Daphnia pulex: one gene and its partner. The protein of the gene in region 2 interacts with the protein of the main gene of each other region in a biochemical or structural test. Links are inferred from orthologs where the notes say so. Each region holds a gene or a part of one and is shown on either strand. Other genes may lie near its edges.

What was found.
Region 1: of the proteins of SUMO-conjugating enzyme UBC9-B (region 2) and small ubiquitin-related modifier-like, one has a biochemical effect on the other in vitro, tested with the Drosophila melanogaster proteins (2 studies listed by BioGRID). The link is inferred for Daphnia pulex from reciprocal best matches to the Drosophila melanogaster genes lwr and Sumo.

Annotation. Positions count from the first base shown.
Region 1 is NC_060017.1:274,519-284,381, forward strand, and holds small ubiquitin-related modifier-like, read right to left. Parts: upstream 3,858-9,863; 5' UTR 3,705-3,857; coding exon 3,696-3,704; intron 3,487-3,695; coding exon 3,346-3,486; intron 3,285-3,345; coding exon 3,213-3,284; intron 3,138-3,212; coding exon 3,078-3,137; 3' UTR 2,930-3,077; downstream 1-2,929. Other genes in the region: ADP-ribosylation factor 1, read right to left, coding at 214-378, 446-571, 629-738, 807-954; serine protease inhibitor dipetalogastin-like, read right to left, coding at 2,173-2,285, 2,347-2,499, 2,569-2,697, 2,754-2,778; putative leucine-rich repeat-containing protein DDB_G0290503, read right to left, coding at 5,704-5,982, 6,039-6,176, 6,269-6,592, 6,668-7,009, 7,075-7,299, 7,366-7,593, 7,653-7,884, 8,761-8,867.
Region 2 is NC_060018.1:630,152-640,308, reverse strand, and holds SUMO-conjugating enzyme UBC9-B, read right to left. Parts: upstream 6,415-10,157; 5' UTR 6,262-6,414; exon of another isoform or gene 6,168-6,261; 5' UTR 6,159-6,167; coding exon 6,093-6,158; intron 6,018-6,092; coding exon 5,934-6,017; intron 5,821-5,933; coding exon 5,703-5,820; intron 5,641-5,702; coding exon 5,496-5,640; intron 5,426-5,495; coding exon 5,347-5,425; 3' UTR 5,187-5,346; downstream 1-5,186. Other genes in the region: receptor-type guanylate cyclase Gyc76C-like, read left to right, coding at 1-220, 438-675, 1,025-1,174, 1,306-1,370, 1,936-2,093, 2,252-2,392, 2,508-2,631, 2,707-2,805 and 3 more; glyceraldehyde-3-phosphate dehydrogenase 2-like, read right to left, coding at 7,928-8,095, 8,155-8,412, 8,479-8,973, 9,035-9,112.

The DNA of each region.
Region 1 (9,863 bases), on a different chromosome or scaffold from region 2:
TATCTGAAATGAATAAACCAGGAATGTCCCTTGTAAGAGCAGCGAGAGGACCCTCAAGTAGGATCAGAAGTGTTTGCCTTCCTTTTTCTTACTCTCGATGGAAGGGGGGCAAAAAAAAAAAGATGAAAGGTGGCGAAGGAGGCCGAGAGGCAAGGATTACTAGAGCTGAAAAATATGAATTTGAAAATCTTGTTTCTTTTTATCTTCTTTTCTTTAGCGCGACGCATTTTTCAATTGGTTTGAAAGCCAGTCAAGCCCTTCGTAAAGTCCATCTCCACTGGTGGCACAGGTTGCTTGGATATACCAGTTACGGTTGCGCAGAGAATGAAGTCCAAGTTTATCTGTGATTTCGGCGGCGTTCATAGCGTTCGGCAAATCCTGAATACAAGGATAATAATGATGTCATTGTTGTCAAAACATTTTTGAAAATGAAAGACAAGTATACTTGTTTGTTTGCAAAAATAAGCAACACGGCTTCACGGAGTTCATCTTCGGCCAGCATCCTCATCAACTCTTCTCGGGCTTCACCAATACGCTCACGATCGTTAGAATCAACTACAAAGATGAGACCCTAGATTGTAATGGACAATTAGAAAAGTCACTCAAATTTTTAGCTTAATAAACATACTTGTGTGTTTTGGAAGTAATGTCTCCACAATGGTCGAATTTTGTCCTGGCCACCAACATCCCAAACAGTGAAAGATATGTTTTTATATTCAACTGTTTCTACATTGAAACCTTGGGAATAAAAACAAATTACATGATAAAAACTGCAAGTCAAATTTGCTGAAAATTGAATAAATTACCAATTGTGGGAATTGTTGTGACGATTTCACCTAACTTGAGTTTGTAGAGAATTGTAGTTTTACCAGCTGCGTCAAGTCCAACCATCAATATTCTCATTTCCTTTTTGCCAAATAGGCCTTTGAACAGGGTGGCGAAAACGTTTCCCATTGCAAAGTTGGATGGAATAACTTAAGAATATAACCTAAAAAAGGAAGAATGGCAATTAGAATCACTGGAAAATGTTACAAAGATATATCTTTGCTAACTAATGACTAAACTGAAGCTAGACATTGAGCAACTGTCAAACCCTTGCTCAACGCCGACTCGGTGAAGTTTGTGGAGTGGCAGAACCGACTCGACACGACATACAATTACAAGTGCTTCGCAAAATGAACTAATTATTAATACACTTAGAAGTTGACATATTCGACTCTTTAGTAAATGTGGTGAAGGTAACTTACGGACTCTGAATCGAACGCAACGGATTCCAAAGAATGAACGAGCCCGAATTAGACTACGAGCAGAGGGTTAATAATGGCGGACGAAGACCTCTTTCAACTAGCTATTCAACGTTACGTTGCCACGTCAAAAAGTATGAAGTAGAAAAAGCTGTGCCCGACCCTCTTCTGGAAATCGTAGAGACTCGCCCACTCACCTTTAAGCTTGTCTCATGCGCTCCTAGTGACTAAAAACAAAAACACTATCAAAGAATTAGAACGTTAATTGTTAACTGCATGTTCATATTTGTCATTACAATTATTTGTAAAATTTATTTTCAATCAAGAGGATTGGATAGCTCATAATAGGATTTACCTTTTTTATACAAAATCAAGACATCTAGTACTATTATTAATAGTTGGAAGTTGTATACACTAGAGGCGTGAGTAAGGGAGACATTTTTTTAAAATAATGCTTGGATCGAATTTTATAGCACAGTCCAAGTCACGTGACTTGTTTGATTCCCACTCTATCGAGTATGTTGGAAGCCGATGCGCTTATTAACCATATGTTTTGTCTTTTAAAAAAAGGATTAAAGGCACTTTTCGTATTGTGCACGAACTTAACACGTCATCTTAGTAGATCCGTCTTCCTTGAAAAACGGCCGCCGACTGTTAAGAATGCTTGCATTAATCTGAACTATTTTGAGAAATGAAACCCGGCGAATTTTTTAAAAAATATAGTACATGGCACGAGAAAATTGAATGACGAGCCGGCATTGTGGCATAGTTGACACATTAGTAACACGGATCTCTTGTCAGAACCCAGCCGTTTATTTTAAACAGAAGTTGGTCATGTTTATTGACATATATTGACTTTGAGAGTTTAGAGTCTAATTTGGCATGATACAAGTTATAACGAACGAAGTGAGGTTTTGGGGGAGTAATCCTATTTCTGCTTTGGTCCCGTGACGTTTCCGGGTCTCACTGTTTTATTTGGCACTTTTCTTCTTCGAGCGTTTGTTTTACTTTTACATTTGCCCTTGCTAATAATCTTCACCTCTAAAATGTCATAAAAATATCAACTGTGCATCGTTTAATTATGTATGATATAAAAATATACGTTTTTTAGGCTGTAATTTGTTCTTGCATGCAACCATTGCGGGATTCAGATAGGTAAGCCCGTCGTTGCCGCAGACATTTTTCACGACTGAAGAATAGTTACATTCACGAATATCAGGTCGAAGACAGCGTCCTTTATAAGCTATTCGAATCACTGAGAAAACCAAACAAATTCAACACGGATGGAACCATTTCCTAAAAAAGAATATTTCAAATAGCCTACTGTTTCCAGGGCTAGCCTTATTATGGCACTGTAAAGCCTTCAGATTCGTGTAGGAAATCCCGTTAACCCCACAAAGTGGTTTATAACTTTTGGGAATTTTACAACTTGTTGCACCTACTACTAGTACAACTGAACAACACAAAATAAAGTATATTATAAATTCTTGATTGACAATTTATTTTTACCAAGCAACAGCGTTGTGCAATGCATCCTCTCTCGAAAAGGTTTGTACGCACTTTGCGATCAAAAGCAAGAAATGGAAGTCAAGACCTTTCATCCTTGAACTTTGATGTCAATATTCATAGCAATACAAGTTGATAGAAACAAGTGGCAGAGTGCCCATAAGTTAACGAAAGGATCATTCTCGGTTACGAAAATGGTTTTATTTATTCGATTGGAAATGAAGAACAGAAAGCAGGGCGATATTTTGATGACAACATTGGAAATTAAAAGACAGTTTTGTCCAGAAAATGTGGAAAGTTTTCCATGAATGCATCGAGGTTCTTAAATTAATTGCCACCAGTTTGTTCCTGATAAACCTCAATGACATCATCATTCTCCATTTCCAACTAGAACAGCAGTACAGAAATTCATTACTTGCATATCATTTAACACATCAGCTAAGTGCATTAGACACAACATACCTGTTTAGGGGTTTCATCATCATTAATTCGCCTTCCATCAAACAAAAACCTCAGCGAAGTAACTGGCACACCCTGAACACAAAGAAAATCTTTATCAATAAGTGAAAAAAAAAATGACAGGAAAAACCCTTACCACTCTTTCACTATAAGACTTCTTGAGTTTGCCCATCTGTGTCGTCATCTTTACTCGAAAGTGAATTTCATTTGAATCCTGGCCAACAACTTTCAATTTGATGTACTCTGATCCTGCATCACCGGCATCAGGTTTCTGATCCTGTATATTAAAAATAGAAACCACAGTTAGCCAAATTGGTATAGGGTAATGCAAAGGCAAACAGTTAAAATATCGAACACATGATCAGAACTAAAAAAAAATCGACTATCCAGCAAAGACAACACGTGAAAACAAATTTTATGGAAAAAGAAACGAATGGGGTAAATTTAGCAATACTTAAAAAGTAACATAGATAGTTACGTGCTTACATCAGCCATGGTTAAAACAAGTTCTTTTTCTAAAACTAGCAGCACGTTTGAGACGACTCTATTGAAGAATAATGAATAATGGCGTGGGCCAAAAAAGCGCCGAGAATAAACGTTGCCGCACCAGCTATATACGTCTGGATGCCGGCACTGCACTAAAAACTTATTTTAACAACGGCCGGCCACGTATGAAATGAGTACATTTTTTTAAATTAAAAAACTTTTTTTAAATAAATTGGAATATATTAATAAAATTTGTAGGATTTTTTTTAAATTTTTTGCTGCTTTGAAGAATATTTTGCTTGAAACAATTGCACAATATGTAATTTGGGATTGATAATATTTAAAATTAAGACTGATGATATCCAATGGCTTGATTCAATAAAAATATAAATTGAGATCTTCTTCGACTACATTTTGGCTGCTTAAGCAATTATTACACAGTTAGCAATCGTTATGGATGATTATTAGCAACGTGTGCGTGCAGTTGATGTCCCTTAATTTAATTTGATAATCATACATCATATTAATGTTTCATGAATTAATAGGTTTACAGCCGTCACTACGTCCATAGCACTCACTCCATAAAAATTTTTGCTGAGATTGTAAATGCCAACCGCAGCATAGAAACGAGTTACTCCAATAATCAGTTAGCAAACTAGAATCGAATTTGGTGAGTTGATGACTTGAATTATTAAATGGCGGGACGACTGCTGGTTTTCCCTGTACGAATTGATAATGCTGTCGTAATAAAAAAAGGAACATTGTTGCGACATCTGTAGGTAGTAAATAATTTGTGTTGTTACAGTTACAGTTTCGCATCGTCGGATTTTTTTCTGTTTGCTGACTTCGTTCTTTTGAATGAGCGACACACCAGTATTAATCGACCAATAGCATCCTATTCCAGGGGAATTTTAAGAAAATTTCTTGCTTACTGACAAGTTGTGTCTTATGGAGTACAGCAAACCGAAATTATAGAAGACTATTTTATTAGATATTTTTGAATGAATGTTAAATTTTGGTTTGATTCTGTAAACCTTCCACTGGAATTCGAGCAATTTTTTTTAGTAGTCAAACTTGTTGCTAACCCAACGAAAAATTTCCAACAGCGTCATTTTCATTTTAGGAGTCGAATTTATTGCCATTTTTATTAATTAATTCCATATAGCTATTAATGCGTTGTTGTACAAATTATTTTGTTCTAGATTATTGCGCTTTAGTATGAAATAAAACCTTACCTTTGAGACGGTTTGGGGGTTTTATTACAACAAGATAAATTTTATTATACAAGATGATGCCTCTTCTTTACAGAAATATTTTTTAAGCATTGCACTGATCCTTCGGTAGTTGAACAACAGTCAGACGAGGAAGCCAATCAATCTTTGTCAAAACTTGTTCGTTTCCTGTATTGACTTCATCCATGCTATAATGCAATATAGAACTAGAGAGGAAAAAAGTACAACTCACTAAGCCACACGATTGTCAAATTGTCAAAAAAGATACGAAACATGTGTCATATTGATTCAAGTATTAGCCGTGTGATTCATATACAAATGTGTATCTAATGTATTATTTGTTTTGGCAACGAGTGTACAATTCACATTTGAATGAGAAAAAAATAGAACGGAGGCAGAAGGTGCATTATCCAGTTGACACACGCAGCAGGAGCAACTTATTATGTGAGACATGTGGCGTGGAATTCAATTAATCTTCGTTCGCCGCAGGAACGAATACAGACCGTATTTTTTGTATTGTTTGATTGATAGGATTTTAAAAACTTGGCGGTAATTTATTTGGTTGCGTACGATGAGAATCTACTTTGGCTAATAGAGTGGGGTTGATTCTACTCAATGAGCACTGTACTTATATTTTATGTGTTTCGTCCGAAATGAAAGTTGTGACTACATAAAAATTAAACTAGAGTTAAGTCTACGAATGTCTACTGTTCTCAATTTTGCAAAGAAGCTCAATGCTATTGTCTACAGCTCAGTCACGAATGAGCAATTCAATTTCAATTCTCGTCGCTGTCGTTATTAATATTCTCTTTCCGCGTGATAACGGTGACGTCCTCTTGATTGGGTACTGGACCACTGGAAACGTCATAAGGAGGTGAAGAGGATTTACCGGCCGTCGTACTTGGCTGTTGGCCTGTGACTGCAAGTCCTGAACGAAGTGATTCGAGAGCCTCACCCAATCCACCCCTCACTTGATTGAATTCCTGCACTACTAACGACAAGCGGCCCAGCAAAAAGTTCAAATGGTCGTCAACTTCGTTGACCCGTTCCGTTACCTATAACAAAGTTCATTAATCAATTTCATAATAATGTCGTTCGAAGATATTCGTACCTGGCCAACTCTTTTGTCCATGCTGCTGAGAGCTTGAAGACTACCGCCGACGTGTTGGGCTGTCTGCTGTTCCACTCGTTGCAACAATTCTTGTGATTGACTGGCGCTCTGGTATAGCACGCCAATCTGACGCCAGACCTAGATGATTTTAGAAATGAATTCTATAAATTAGTAAATAGGGAAAAAAAAAACTAATAATAAAAGTAAAATCATTTTTATAGTCCGTGTACCTGTCCGAGTTCATTTTCTAGTTTACTTGTCATGTTAGTAAGTGCGGTACTTTGATCTTTGATGACCGAGAAGGTGACGTCGTCGACCTTGCGGGCTAATGTCGAGTTCAGATCGCCCGTTTGTCTGCGGATTGAGTCGCCCAATTCAAGCAAAATTTGCTGGACGGCAAATTCGAGACGTCGTTTCGTATCAAGAACTCCATCAGCCGTGTCGAGAAGTACTTGTTCTACTTTTTGCAACCCGTGAATTTCTTTGGCAAGACTTGCATAGCTTTTGTCCACCCTGTCGGCCAATGTCTCGGCCATATTTCCAGATTCCTCCACCTAATTCATGAAAAATTATCATGTGGTAATGATATTCAATTATTATTTGATTGTGAAAGAGATTATTGGCATTACCTGGTCTTGGATAAGCTTCTGACTCTCACTCATTTTGTGTTCAAATGCTCCAAGTCGAGTTTGAAACACATCGGTGACATTCATCACACCTTTGTCAATTCCGCGTGACAAAGATTGCCAACCTTCTTTGAAGTTTTCGTCTAGTTTCATCTGTGACTGGTACGAGTCGTTGACCAGTGAATGAACAGCATCGAGCGTTGGTTTCAGATGGACTTGAATAGCGGAAACAAGGGCCTCAGGATTGCTCTGCGATCCGGAAGACGATCCGGAATTCTCCAAAGATGTCTCCAGCTTTTCAATACCGACTAAGATGGCTGAAGTGTCATTCTTCATTCGACTCGCCTGGATGCAATCATGAAATTTTCATTGACATCTGTTCTCAAGAATGAACTCTGAAACTCGTATACGTGATCAGAAATGCGGTTGACACCAACTCCAAACTGGTTGACCAGATTCTGAGCATCGCTGAAAAACTGTCGCCATTTGCCTTCCGTAGCCACCAGATTGACAGATGCAGCTCGCAATTTCTCGGCATCGCCAGCTTGAGCTTTGCCCAGGTTCTCCATGGTAGTCAACTGTAAGCTCTCTAGTCTCTCACTGCGCGTTTCGTACTTTTCTCCAACGATTTTCACCTAGGAAGTTAACAGCATGTAGCTCTCACTCGCGATCTTGACTGGATTAATTTTCTTAATACTTACTTCGTTAGCCACAACTGACAGACGGTTTTGCAATGATTCTTCCACGCTCTCCACCTTTTTACGAGTGCGAGTCAGCTGTTTCAGTACTTCGCCGAGATCTCCAGTTGAAGCGGCTGCCGGAGCAGGACCACTAGGAGCACCGGCACTTCTTCCGGATTCAATTCCATTGCGGATAGCCACTGTATTGTCAGTGATTTTCTGGAGTTGAATTCTCTCTCTCTCGTCCCTCTGATATAAAATATTGTGGTTGATATTTGACCTTTAATTATAGATCGACTTGAAGTTACCTGTATGACCATTTCTTCCATCTTACGGAGCCGCTCATCGGTTCGGGCCATGAGGATAGCCAGGTTCTCCAGATTCTTATCTTGACCACGTGTTCGTGAATCAAGATCTCTAAGGGAACGCGTCAGGGCATCTCCCAGCTGCCTCTCACGAAGTTCGTGGCGTTCGAGCTTGCCCGTCTGCTCTCTAACTGCTCCGACCAGCGTCAAAATAGCGTCCCTGATGTCCGAATGCCTACCATTTCGAAACTCGATTAGATGTGTTATTTACCGCAGATTGGGAAAAGAGACGAGTTATAGCCTAATTCGCATGGCAAATGACATCACCATGCCTACGATTAGAATCTTTTAAAATGTTGTCGATTGAGGTCAAGGCATTGAGGAATTCGAGGAAGCGGGAAGACTTCAATTCACTTGGAAACAAGGATGACACGAGCGACATCATCGACTTATTTCAAATCGAAAGGGAAACGGCGACCTCTGTCACTCTGTCATATCGCCGGCAAGTTCCCACAACAGGAAATGGGCGTTGTTTCTTCGGTTTTGTTCATTGAGCTACTCAATCCACGTGTTTGAATAAAAGAAATCAAACATTTATGAATCTTTATTATCTATGGTCAAATCTGGAGACTCAGACAACCCCCTTACCGCCGGCCGCATATACGGCCCATGGCGAGCTAGAATTTCCGTTCAAGCGCTTCACAAGTAAATGGCATATTCTTGTTTTTGTTGTTAGCAGCACATGTGTTCAGCAGACTTTTCAACAACTATTAATTCCAGAGCAACGATGGGAGCGCAAAAAGAAAGAGGGCAAGGTTGTTTTGAGCAACTAGATAGACCCCCATGAGGCGGATAGCATAGAGGTAATTGGATACGGCAGTGTGTACGTCTTTGAGCGCAAAAAGGAGTACTCGAAAGAGACTTTGCTGATTTTTTCCCCACCCAAACCTTCCCCGACCGCTGGTTAGAAGGAAAATTTAATCTTAAAGCTTTCTATACATCACATATCCCTTTATGCTAGCCATCATCTTGTAATAATGGAGAAAACTGCAAATGTACACAATGAGGAAGACTTGCCATGCCCAACTAATATGATAAAATTTTTACTCACGTGATGAGAGATGCTGCGGTCGCTCCTGGCTGTTGAGGCGTCTGGGTGGCTACCGGATGAAGCAAAATGACGGCCGTCGCCGAAATCAAATACCAGAACGTTCTCATTCTTTCTTCAGATGGTCCGACTGAGGAGGCGGACGTAAAGCTTCTGAAGAAGATGGGACGATCTCGGAAACAAACTGTGGGTTCCAAGAATGAGAGAGAACTGTCTCTGCGTCAAGCCAAAGCTAAAAGTGAGCAATTTCGAGTCACTTTTATGTGGGCTTGCCGCAGCATGACATTTATCAGCTGTTATCGAATTATCAACACAAACTGACAAAAGCAGTTAACTTTTAAAAAATAAGCCATTTTCATTCCGTATAATCACTGATTTTGCTTATTGTGATCAGTGCTGCGAGTAGTTATTATATGTAATACTGTATATATTGTCGTGAGAGAGTTATCAGATAAAATTAATAAATACCCTCTGTATGTCGTTCATAAAAAAAATATTTGAAACAGTGACACCTAAGCAGTCATGGTGGACCTAAGTGGTCTGATGCCATGTCTAAATAGACCGTACCGTAAGCATTCGTAATACATCGTAATATGAATGTTACTGACATTTCACGTTAATTACGTACATTGACGAAACGCTTCTCCGACGTGTTCGAATTTGAAAAATTTTTTAGGAACACCCTATTGCTATAGTTAAAGACAAACTGCTGCAAATCGGTACAGCATTCGCAAGCGTAAGCGTACAGCGAAAGCAGATGTCTGGGGAAAATGTCTCAGTATCTCCTTTAACCGAACCTGAAAAAAATGTTTATTCTAAACAAGAAGTAACGAATTTTAGCTGACTGACCTTAATTGGATCAAATAAATTCACACATTCTTAACTTTCTATTGTGTGAATTTTTGCAGTTCATGCTATTCAAAAGAAAAAATATTTATGTTGGTAGCTATTAGATTATTTTATTTAAAAATAAATTTTTCCGTCTGTCATTGAACGCAATACGAAAAAACAGGAAGTGCCGTACGCCTCTGAATCTCTGAACGGGAGATATTCGATTGATCATTGATGATAAGACCTGCACCTGCTGTCTGGCCAAATAATTAAAA
Region 2 (10,157 bases):
GGATCAGGTTTTCACCAAAGTCGGTCGCTATCGCGGCACCATCGTCCGCACCAAGGAGCTCTGCTTCTCCAAGCGCTACGACATTGGACGCAAAACGATGAAGGAAATGCGTCTAATGCGCGAAATCCGTCACGACAACATCAACCCGTTCATCGGAGCTGCTGTCGAACCGTGTCGCATCCAGATCGTCTCCGAATACTGTCACAAAGGATCTCTACCGGTATGCAATCATCAATCAATCAATATCTAAACAAGCACTGCGAGCGAGCTGAGCAAAAGCCCGCGGAGCGCTAGATTTATCGCCGTCCATTAACCTGAGACTCGAAAGCAAAAGAGTCGTCGCCTAAATGGAAAAACATTTCGCCAGTGCTGCGCGGATGCCCATAGAGATAAGAGGCCTCAAAGTTATTCTTTTATTGTTTTTATACGACCATCAGGACATTTTGGAGAACGACGACATCAAGTTGGAGAATATCTTCATAGCCTCGATGGTCAACGACCTGATCAAGGGTATGACGCATCTCCACAAAACGGATCTACACTTCCACGGCAACCTCAAGTCATCCAACTGCGTCGTCACGTCGCGCTGGGTCCTCCAGATTACCGACTACGGCCTTCACGAGCTCCGCGCTGCCGCCGAGAAGGATTCCATCGGAGATCACGAACTCTACCGCAGTAAGTTTGATCGTGTCAATGTCATTTTCGCTGGAATTTCCCGTAGAACTTTGTTGTGTTTTTTTTTTTGGCACTTGTATTTCGAGACAAAATCGAACGTTTTTGGTGGACGAGAAAAATATGAGATCCATTCTTCCTTATTTTATTTATGTGGCGGCTTTGGCTCCTCTGCGCGCGTTATTCAAAATAGCTGGGCGCTTGTGATTTATTGCCGCTGATTCCCTTTTTTTCCTTCGCAAATATCTCTACGTGCGCGCAGAGCGTACGCCAAAATTGATGGGCTCATAAAGTTCAGATCTCGGTCGTTGAGCTTCATGTGTTATTGTTTTCTTCTTTTTGAACCCAACAGATTTGTTATGGAAGGCGCCGGAATTGCTGAACGACCAGTCCAACTCGGTTCGTGGCACACCAAAGGCTGACGTCTACGCCTTCGGCATGATCCTCTACGAGATTCTGACTCGGCAAGACGCTTTCACTGGCTACAAACTCGAGCCAAAAGGTTAGCGTTACATTATCCCACTCCCACCCACCCCAAAACAAACGCGTGACTCACCCACCCCATCATCGCAAATCACTTCGTTAGTCTTTCTATATAACTTTTTCGACTTTCTTTGCCCGATTTGAAAATAGACATCGTCGACAAGATTCGAACTGGCCCAGCTCCAGGAGAGAAACCCTTCCGTCCCGATATCCAGGTATACACAACTAAAACTATTACAAACTCACGCGTGCCGTTCTAATGGAGCGTGGATGTGTAGTTTATCACGCTGCACGGGTTTTTTGTTTACCTCCTCAATAATATACCAACGATACGCCGATTTATGGCCAGTCGGCTTTATTATCGATCGCCCCAGTCCTTTCACGAGCGTGAAAGATCTACTCTCATGAAATGAAATGAAAGAATCAGCTGGATGCTCTTTTTGCGTTGTTAAATACATTTTCGATCCTGCCGAGGATTCCTCCCCAACTTCTGGTTGGGGGAAACAACTGCCAAAGTCGTTTCGGCTCGTCAAGCCTATATACCGACATCCCCATATACATAGCCTTGAATTACTAGCATCATTTCCTCATCCGGCGGATTGCATTGAACGAAACTGCTGGCGCCGCGACAATGTTTTTCTTTTCTTTATTTTCTTTTTCTTTTTGTTTGATGAGTCTGTAGAGAAAACCCATAGAAAATGATCTCGAGATATATAGTATCTAGTTGTTGATGGCTACATTGACTTATTTATTCATTACCCCATTCTGTGTTTGTTAAAGATGCTCCAAGATTATTGCATTTTCGTGCAACCCGACATTGGAATGGGCTGTCCGGAGTACATTCGCTCTTGCATGGAGGATTGTTGGGCCGAGTCACCGGAGCAGCGCCCGGATTTCCCCACCATTCGCGATCGTCTTCGTAAAATGAGAGAGGGAATGTAAGTTATTATATATACGGTTACCCAGTTATTCTTCTTCTTCGTACTCAACACTATATAGGCACAGCAGTCGTCTTGTGTACTGTAGGCACATAATGACCTGGCGTCTGATATGATTTCTGACTTTTTGTTATCGTGGCCGTTTGGTCGATGCACAGGAAGCCGTTTATTATGGACCAGTTGATGGAAATGATGGTGATCTATGCCGGCAATCTCGAGCTCTTGGTCACCGAGCGGACCCAACTTCTCTACGAAGAGAAACAAAAGACCGAGGACCTCCTCCATCGCATGCTACCAAAGTCAGTCTGGTTTTTCAACCCCCCTTTTTTATTTTTATTATTAGCCACTCTTGCGAAATGAATAGACACACCCTTAAAAGAATAAGCTCTTAATGGCTGACATTGACATTGACAGACCCGTGGCTCAACGACTCACAAGAGGGTGGGGCGTCGAACCGGAATCCTACGAAGCTGTCACCATCTATTTCAGTGACATTGTTGGCTTCACCAAAATGTCGGCCGAGAGTACTCCGTTCCAGGTAATTCTTTTATTAAAAACTTGTAACTCGATTTAGATTTGACAATTTTGTGGGCGTTGTTTTCTCCGCAATTAGGTGGTCAACTTTCTCAACGATTTGTACACCTTGTTCGATTCCATCATCCAGGGTTACGATGTGTACAAGGTGGAAACCATCGGAGATGCCTACATGGTGGTAAGTCTCACAATATATACAACTTGTTTTCATTTTTGACTTAATTTCATCTAAAATTGGGTGAAAACAGGTTTCTGGATTGCCTTTACCCAACGGCGATCTACACGCCGGCATGATTGCGTCGATGGCGCTTGATTTGCTATCAGCAGTCAAGAATCATCGCGTGTCCCATCGACCTAAAGATCCAGTTTTACTCAGGATCGGAATTCACACCGGTACAATACACAAGTTTAAAATAAATACAAATAAAGGGTAAAAAACCATTTTTGTCGATATGATGAAACAGGTCCCGTGGTGGCCGGAGTAGTGGGTTTGACGATGCCCAGATATTGTTTGTTCGGCGACACGGTCAACACGGCTTCGCGGATGGAATCGAACGGCGAGCCCCTGAGGATTCACATCAGTTGCGAGTGTCGAAAGGCGTTGGAAAAGATCGGCGGTTACGTGACGGAAGAACGAGGACTGGTCGCCATGAAGGGCAAAGGCGAAGTGTTGACACACTGGCTGATTGGCGTCACAAGTGGAGCTGTTACAGCACGAGCGGACGTTGGACCCGATCAAGCGCCACTCTTTTGTCGCCCGTCTGGTGCCATCGGAGCAGCGAGTTCCAACGCCAACGGCAGTGCCGGCAACATGTCGGATCTTCGCCGGAGGAGTCCTCGAATGCTTCACAGGGCGGAATCGATGCTGACGAGGAGAGTGTCGTCCGATTCGAGGCCCGTTGGCAGCGGGAGCATTCGAATGAGCTCGTCGCTGGCTGCGCAACAAGGACGGACACAAGGCCAGCCCAACAGGATGTATCACCACGATAATTCGGCCGAATTGTTGGAGGGTTCCAATAGCGACTCGATATGCAGCAGCATCATCAGCACCAATCAACCTCCAACTCCGAAAGTATAAATTTCTCATTTTCTCCCTTTTGAAAGTTTCCATGGTAACACGTTCCATTTCTTTTTAAACAAAACAGCTTTTCGACAGGAAAACGAGCCAATCGGCTCGGTCTCTGCGTTCAGTTCGAACAACCAAGTCAAATGCAAGTCTACGGCGTAGTTGCCTATTAACGCGCAGCGCACATGCCAGCCAAGTTCAAATCGTTGCCGAGGGAGCGAGCGAGAGCGGTGATGTGGATTATCGGAGCGGAACAACAGCCAGTCCGCTGTTACCTCAAAGGCGATGCCAGTCACTCGGTCGATTTCCCGAAGACGAAGATGAACAACACCACCACCACCACCACCACCAGCATCAGGAGCAGCAGCAGCAGCAGCAGCAGAGAGCGGGCGGTTTGAGTTCGGTTAGTCATGGTCCCCGGCAGTTTCTCTGCGTTCCTCAAGTCTTCCCTTCTCGAAACAAGTCGAATCAGCGTCGCAGGAAAGAATCCAAATCCCTGGATCTTTTCCCGTCTGAATTGAGGTCGACTTTGATAGACCGGTCGCCGCTGCCCAGTTGCGCGTCGCAGGATGACACTGAAGACGAACATTCTCGACTTCTCAGCGACGATCACAACGTCGTCTTGACAATCCCGAACGGGGATCAACCGGAGCAAGCCGAATTGTCACGACCCAACGGACATATCAAGACTTCGGGCTACCAGGCCGTCAGGTTACTCCAAAACGACGACGAAGGGATTGACGTCAATTCCGAGACTCTGCTCAGTCGCGATCGCACTCGGCATCGGCCCAGTCTCACAGCCTGTGGATTGATGGAGTCTGAAAAGAGATACTCTTGTGAACAACTGGAACATTCGACATCGGGCGAGAGACTCGGTAAAGAAGGCAAAGACACGGTCATCGCCCCCACTGTTAGCAAGAGCGTGCCCAACGTCAAGCGGTGGATAGTCAATCTGTTCGGCGTGGGTCACGGAGGTGATGCTTTTAGTCGGAATCCGCAGACGGGAGAGGACTTTTCCGACCTCCACCGTGATGACAGAGAAAGCGTTGTGTGAAATTGCGCCTCCTTATTCTTGCATCCTCCACAGTCTTTTTACATGATGACAAATTTGCTTTACTTGTTTCGTGATTCGTATATTTCGCCATTTGAAAATGCCATACCCGATCTCCGATTCTTCTCGGTTAAGATTTTTAATCGATTTCAAGTCGGAATGTTTTCTTTGATTTTAGTGTATCTGTAATATTGTCGCTGCTGAAAATATTGTGATAAATCGGTTGTTGTTTTACATACCTTGTTTTGCACTTTGTACATCGATAACCCATTTAGTTCAAATTTTAATCAGGTAAGAGAGCCTTTGATGAATTCTAGTAGTTAAAAGAAGTTTGGTCTTCATAATCAGATATTCGCCAGATAAAACGCATATCAACAAAGTAGGTCACAACCAAATAAAATAGTCAAGTGACGTAATTGAAAAAAAAAAAGGTCAACAAGTGTTACACCTTACTTAGCGTTTTATTTCAGATCGGAGTATGTTTTCTGGACGATAAGTAAGTATTGAAATGAAGACAATAAGAATTTTTAAAAAACAAATAGAGCACGTGGAAAAGAAAAAGAAGTTAACTTATTCCTTGACAGCTGGATTTACTTGGGAAATTAAGACAGCAAATCAGTGGTGGCAGCCATAGCCTTGGCTTGTGCTCTAACACGTTTTTCGTACTCCATTCGATTTTGACTGGAGAAATAATCAAATGAAATATTACAATCCAAACTTTCAAGTTGTCTACTGGTGTAAAAATCATTACCAGTAGATAGTATAAGCTTCTGCCTGAGCCGGATCCTTAATATTGGGGTCATTTAGGAGATCTTGAATTCCAAGCAAAATCTGTTTGATGGTAATTGCAGGTCTCCAGTCCTTTTCTTCATCCAACAATGATAGACAAACTGTGCCTGGATATTAAATGCCAAAAGGTTAGCTAAAACAAAACACTCAAATAGCCATTTGATTCAACCTGATGGATAGACGTTTGGATGGAAAAGTGGGGGCTCAAATTTGCATTTTGGAGGAGAAGAGGGGTAGTCATCTTTAAAAATCATACGGATTTTGTACAATCCATTTTCCCAGGGAGTCTGTAAATGTATGCACAAGTTACACTTAATATTGTTACTTCAAACAACAGTGAATTTGGTAAGTATATCTGACACCAATGTGAAGTAAGATCTTTAAGTGTAAAACTCATTACCGATTTCTTGCCTGGAATAGCACATTCCCAGTTCATCAAATTGAGGGTTCCATCAGGATTCTTTGTGGGCCTGGCAACAAAACCCTAAAGGCAACGCAAAGATACACAAATCAAACACACACAACCCAACAACTATCGTTTGGCAAACCAGCAACTTACAAAGGGATGGTCTTTCCTCCAGCCTTTACGTTCCTCAGAAAGTCGAGCAATAGCAATACCGGACATTATTGGTCACTAGAGAATAAAAATTTCAGTGTGATGTAATAAGAAAGTGTGAATATGACTGAAGAAAGCAAGATGCAACAGCTCTTAAATAAATAATAGTTACCTTTTTTCAACGGCTGCCAAATAATTTAGCTGTGTAGTTTCGTACAATTATTGCCAGGGTTGCCTTAAGGTAATTCGAATAATTACAAATCAATTTAAAATTTAATTTGGGGATTTAAACGAATAAATGATGAAACATTTGCATGTAAAATATGGATTTCAATGAAATCAAACCATTTTGGCTGTAGCATGCATAAGCATTTTTAGTTTTAGTTTTCATCAACTAAAATTAAAAATGAACTGGCTATGCTGCCACTGCCTATGAAAGATGGCGCCCAGATGGTTCAAAAAACAACAGAGCAGTGAGTCACACAGGCATGCATCTTAAGTTCTTGTATTTTGTTTAAATTCCAAATTGAAAAATCAAGTGTTAAAAAAAATCATTGATATCTTCCATCTCATGTAGCTTTGATCGTTCAACATTCGAGACAAGCCAAGCGTCGTTTACGTAATGCTTCCAGAATATTCGAACACGTGAATCAACTAGTGACAAACCACAAAGGTATCACACGAAGACAAAACGAAAAAAGGTGCAAACAACCATGTCTCGAATGAATTAAGAATGATATAATCTCTAATCCTAAAGCCTCAGTTCAGTTTAACTTTGTGGATGGGGAAACTACAAAATTGATATAGAATGTTCAGAAAGGTATGAAAACATCAGTTAATTTGTCATATTAGGTCACAAACTCTAAATTTATTAAATGAAGATCTGTTATTCCCTATTATGGTTGTTTCAGCTAGGTACTTCTCGCATAGAAGGGTTGAATGTGTTAGTGCCAAAGTGGAAGGGAATGAAACATACTTGGGTATCTCAAAGCGGAAAATATCCTGTTAAATACTCATTAGATATGATGTATTGGTGATTTCACAAAACAATAGTGCTTGAATCACTATTTTGTATAGTTCAAAGATTATTACATGTGCCAGTTTTTAAACTAATTTCTTGCTTGGAAACGTAGTGTGCTATGTAATATTGTTGTGAGTCTGTCTTTATTTTTACCATTGCACTGAATAACAAATGACTCCTGAAGGGCTCAGGAAGATGCTTCTGAGAAAGTTAACTGTCAAGTAATAGAATAATGTCCATATCTAAAAAAATCTTTTGAATATAACTCCTCGTCAGTATTGGCTGTTACAGAGAAATGTCAATCATATTATAGAGCATAATTGTAAATGTTTTATTTCAGATTACTAACTATAATTTTATTATTAGGCGTAACCAATGAGTACTGGGGAATCGCGTCTTGAAAGCTTCGTGTTCCCTTCACATATTCGCACGTTTGAATGCAAATATATGGCGTTGCATGAAAGGAGATTACTGTCACCAAAGTGAGCAGGTATGTGGAAAGTAAATTTCTTTATGATAATGATATTTTATCAATAAATTAAAGATCAAAATGTTGATTTAAAATGAGCTGATAATAAAAAATTGAAATGTAAATTTTGTGACAAACGTTTATATTCCTGTAGCCAATGTAACAGACATCTAAGATTGGGATTTCAGACTACAGAAAGGACGACCAACAACAAACATCAATCGTTGTAGCCAGTGCGGTAGCAAGAATGAGGGATAGATAATTAGACAACATTAACAGAATAAGTAACGGATTATTCTGCTGTAAGACGTATGCCAGTGACTCATCCCACAATGCAGCTTTATTGATTTAATCCTTGGATTGCATGTACTTGATCAAATCGACGACACGGCACGAATAACCAAATTCGTTGTCGTACCATGAAATCAGCTTGACGAAAGTTTTGTTGAGAGCAATGCCTGCAGCAGCATCGAAGATGGAAGAGTGGTTGTCACCAATGAAGTCTGTGGAGACGACCTACAAAAAATCTCACGTTATCAATCAACTTTAATGTAAAATGTTTCTAATGATGTTACCTCCTCATCGCAGTAGCCCAAAATACCCTTCATCGGGCCTTCAGCTGCTGCTTTAACGACAGCCTTGATTTCGTCGTAGCTGGCTTCCTTGGACAGGCGGCAGGTCAGATCAACAACGGAGACATCGTGGACGGGTACGCGGAAAGCCATACCGGTCAATTTTCCGTTCAGTTCAGGAATGACTTTACCTACGGCCTTGGCAGCACCAGTAGAGGCAGGAATAATGTTCTGGGCAGCACCACGGCCATCACGCCACAACTGCAATGATCGAATATTCAAAAGGTTAGTATGTGATCATTTTTTTTTTCTCCAAAAGTATTTTACCTTTCCAGAAGGTCCATCGACGGTTTTCTGGGTTGCAGTGATGGCATGGACAGTGGTCATCAAGCCTTCAATGATACCAAAGTTGTCATTGATAACTTTAGCCAGAGGAGCCAGGCAGTTGGTGGTGCAAGAAGCATTGGAAACAATCTTCATGGAAGGATCATATGCTTCAAGGTTGACTCCAACAACAAACATGGGGGCATCAGCAGATGGGGCAGAGATGATAACTTTCTTTGCTCCTCCATCAATGTGAGCCTGGGCCTTGTCCAAAGTGGTGAAAACACCAGTGGATTCAACAACATATTCAGCTCCAGAAGCTCCCCATGGAATGTTCTTGGGGTCACGCTCGCTGAAGACCTGAATGTGATGTCCATTGACAACAAGCTTGCCACCTTCTTCCTTCACTTCTCCCTTGAAGCGGCCATGGGTAGAGTCATACTTGAACATGTACACCATGTAGTCAAGAGTAATGAAGGGATCATTGACAGCAACAACCTAAAATCCCAAAATGTCAGAATGAGTGAAATCATTAATATTTTAATTAATTATGTTTTACCGTAGCTCCCTTTTCGATGCAAGCGCGAAGCACCAAGCGGCCGATACGACCGAATCCGTTAATACCGATTTTCGACATCTTTAGGTGAAGTTGAGGAGGTGATAACTGCTCAAGGTAACAAAAAATTAAATTAAAAACTCCATTTGCCTAATTTAAACGTTAAATTTAGCATAGCAACAGTAAAACTATTGATTTGTCAAAAACAGCTGTTCTCAGCAGATGACGCAAAACCACATTTTACCGGATTTAAACATTAACATTTGGTCTTGTGTAGTTTTATATATATACTTTGACTAGTAGAAAGTATAAAATCAGTAAAGGTTAAGTTGAAGGAGTCTTTGGATCTAAAAATAGGCAGGACAAGATCAATACATCTCCACTGTAGAAAATACTGTATAGTGTTTTGGGGAGAGGTAGAAGCCCTTGTATTGACCTTCAAGCGTCCCGCCCGTCGACGTGACACGCACACCGGAATTTTCCGTAAAATCGACAATTTCGTCGAACAAATTTAGAATAGTTTTCAGCTAACAGATAATTTATTTATAGTTGCTTTCGAATGTTCTAGAGTGCTGGAAATTTTTATAGCCGCCATTTTCCCTAACCATGAAAGTTTGGTGCGTGAATATATCATGCACGACGAGCAAAACACACGATGGTAATATAAAAGCTAACTTAGCGTAACAATTGGAAAATTTAGTATACTATCAATCTGAATCAATTAAAAGTTATAAAAATTGGAACTAAAGATTTCTTTGTCGTTTTAAAACTAGTTAATGTCTAGTACTTAATACTCTAATAGTCTAACATGAATTCCAATTACTATTAGCGAGTGCCATGAATTTCTAAGATACTTTCAAGTAAAAAAATTACTCTTAAATGAGACTCGGAGACTCACCTTGTTGTTAGGATTGCGTACAGGGCACGTCTGTGATATCGAACCGGCGTTTCGAGTCCTCAATACCTCGGCGGGATTGCCTAGCCAAAGTCGAAGCGAACTCTAGTTTAGGTAGTTAGCGCTGCAAAGAAAGACGAGCGCTGCTTTTATTTTGGCTCGAGCCGACAAGGGCAAATGCTGGTTTCTGAAGGGCATTCACGTGATCTACTACTGAACTCTTTTGCCAAC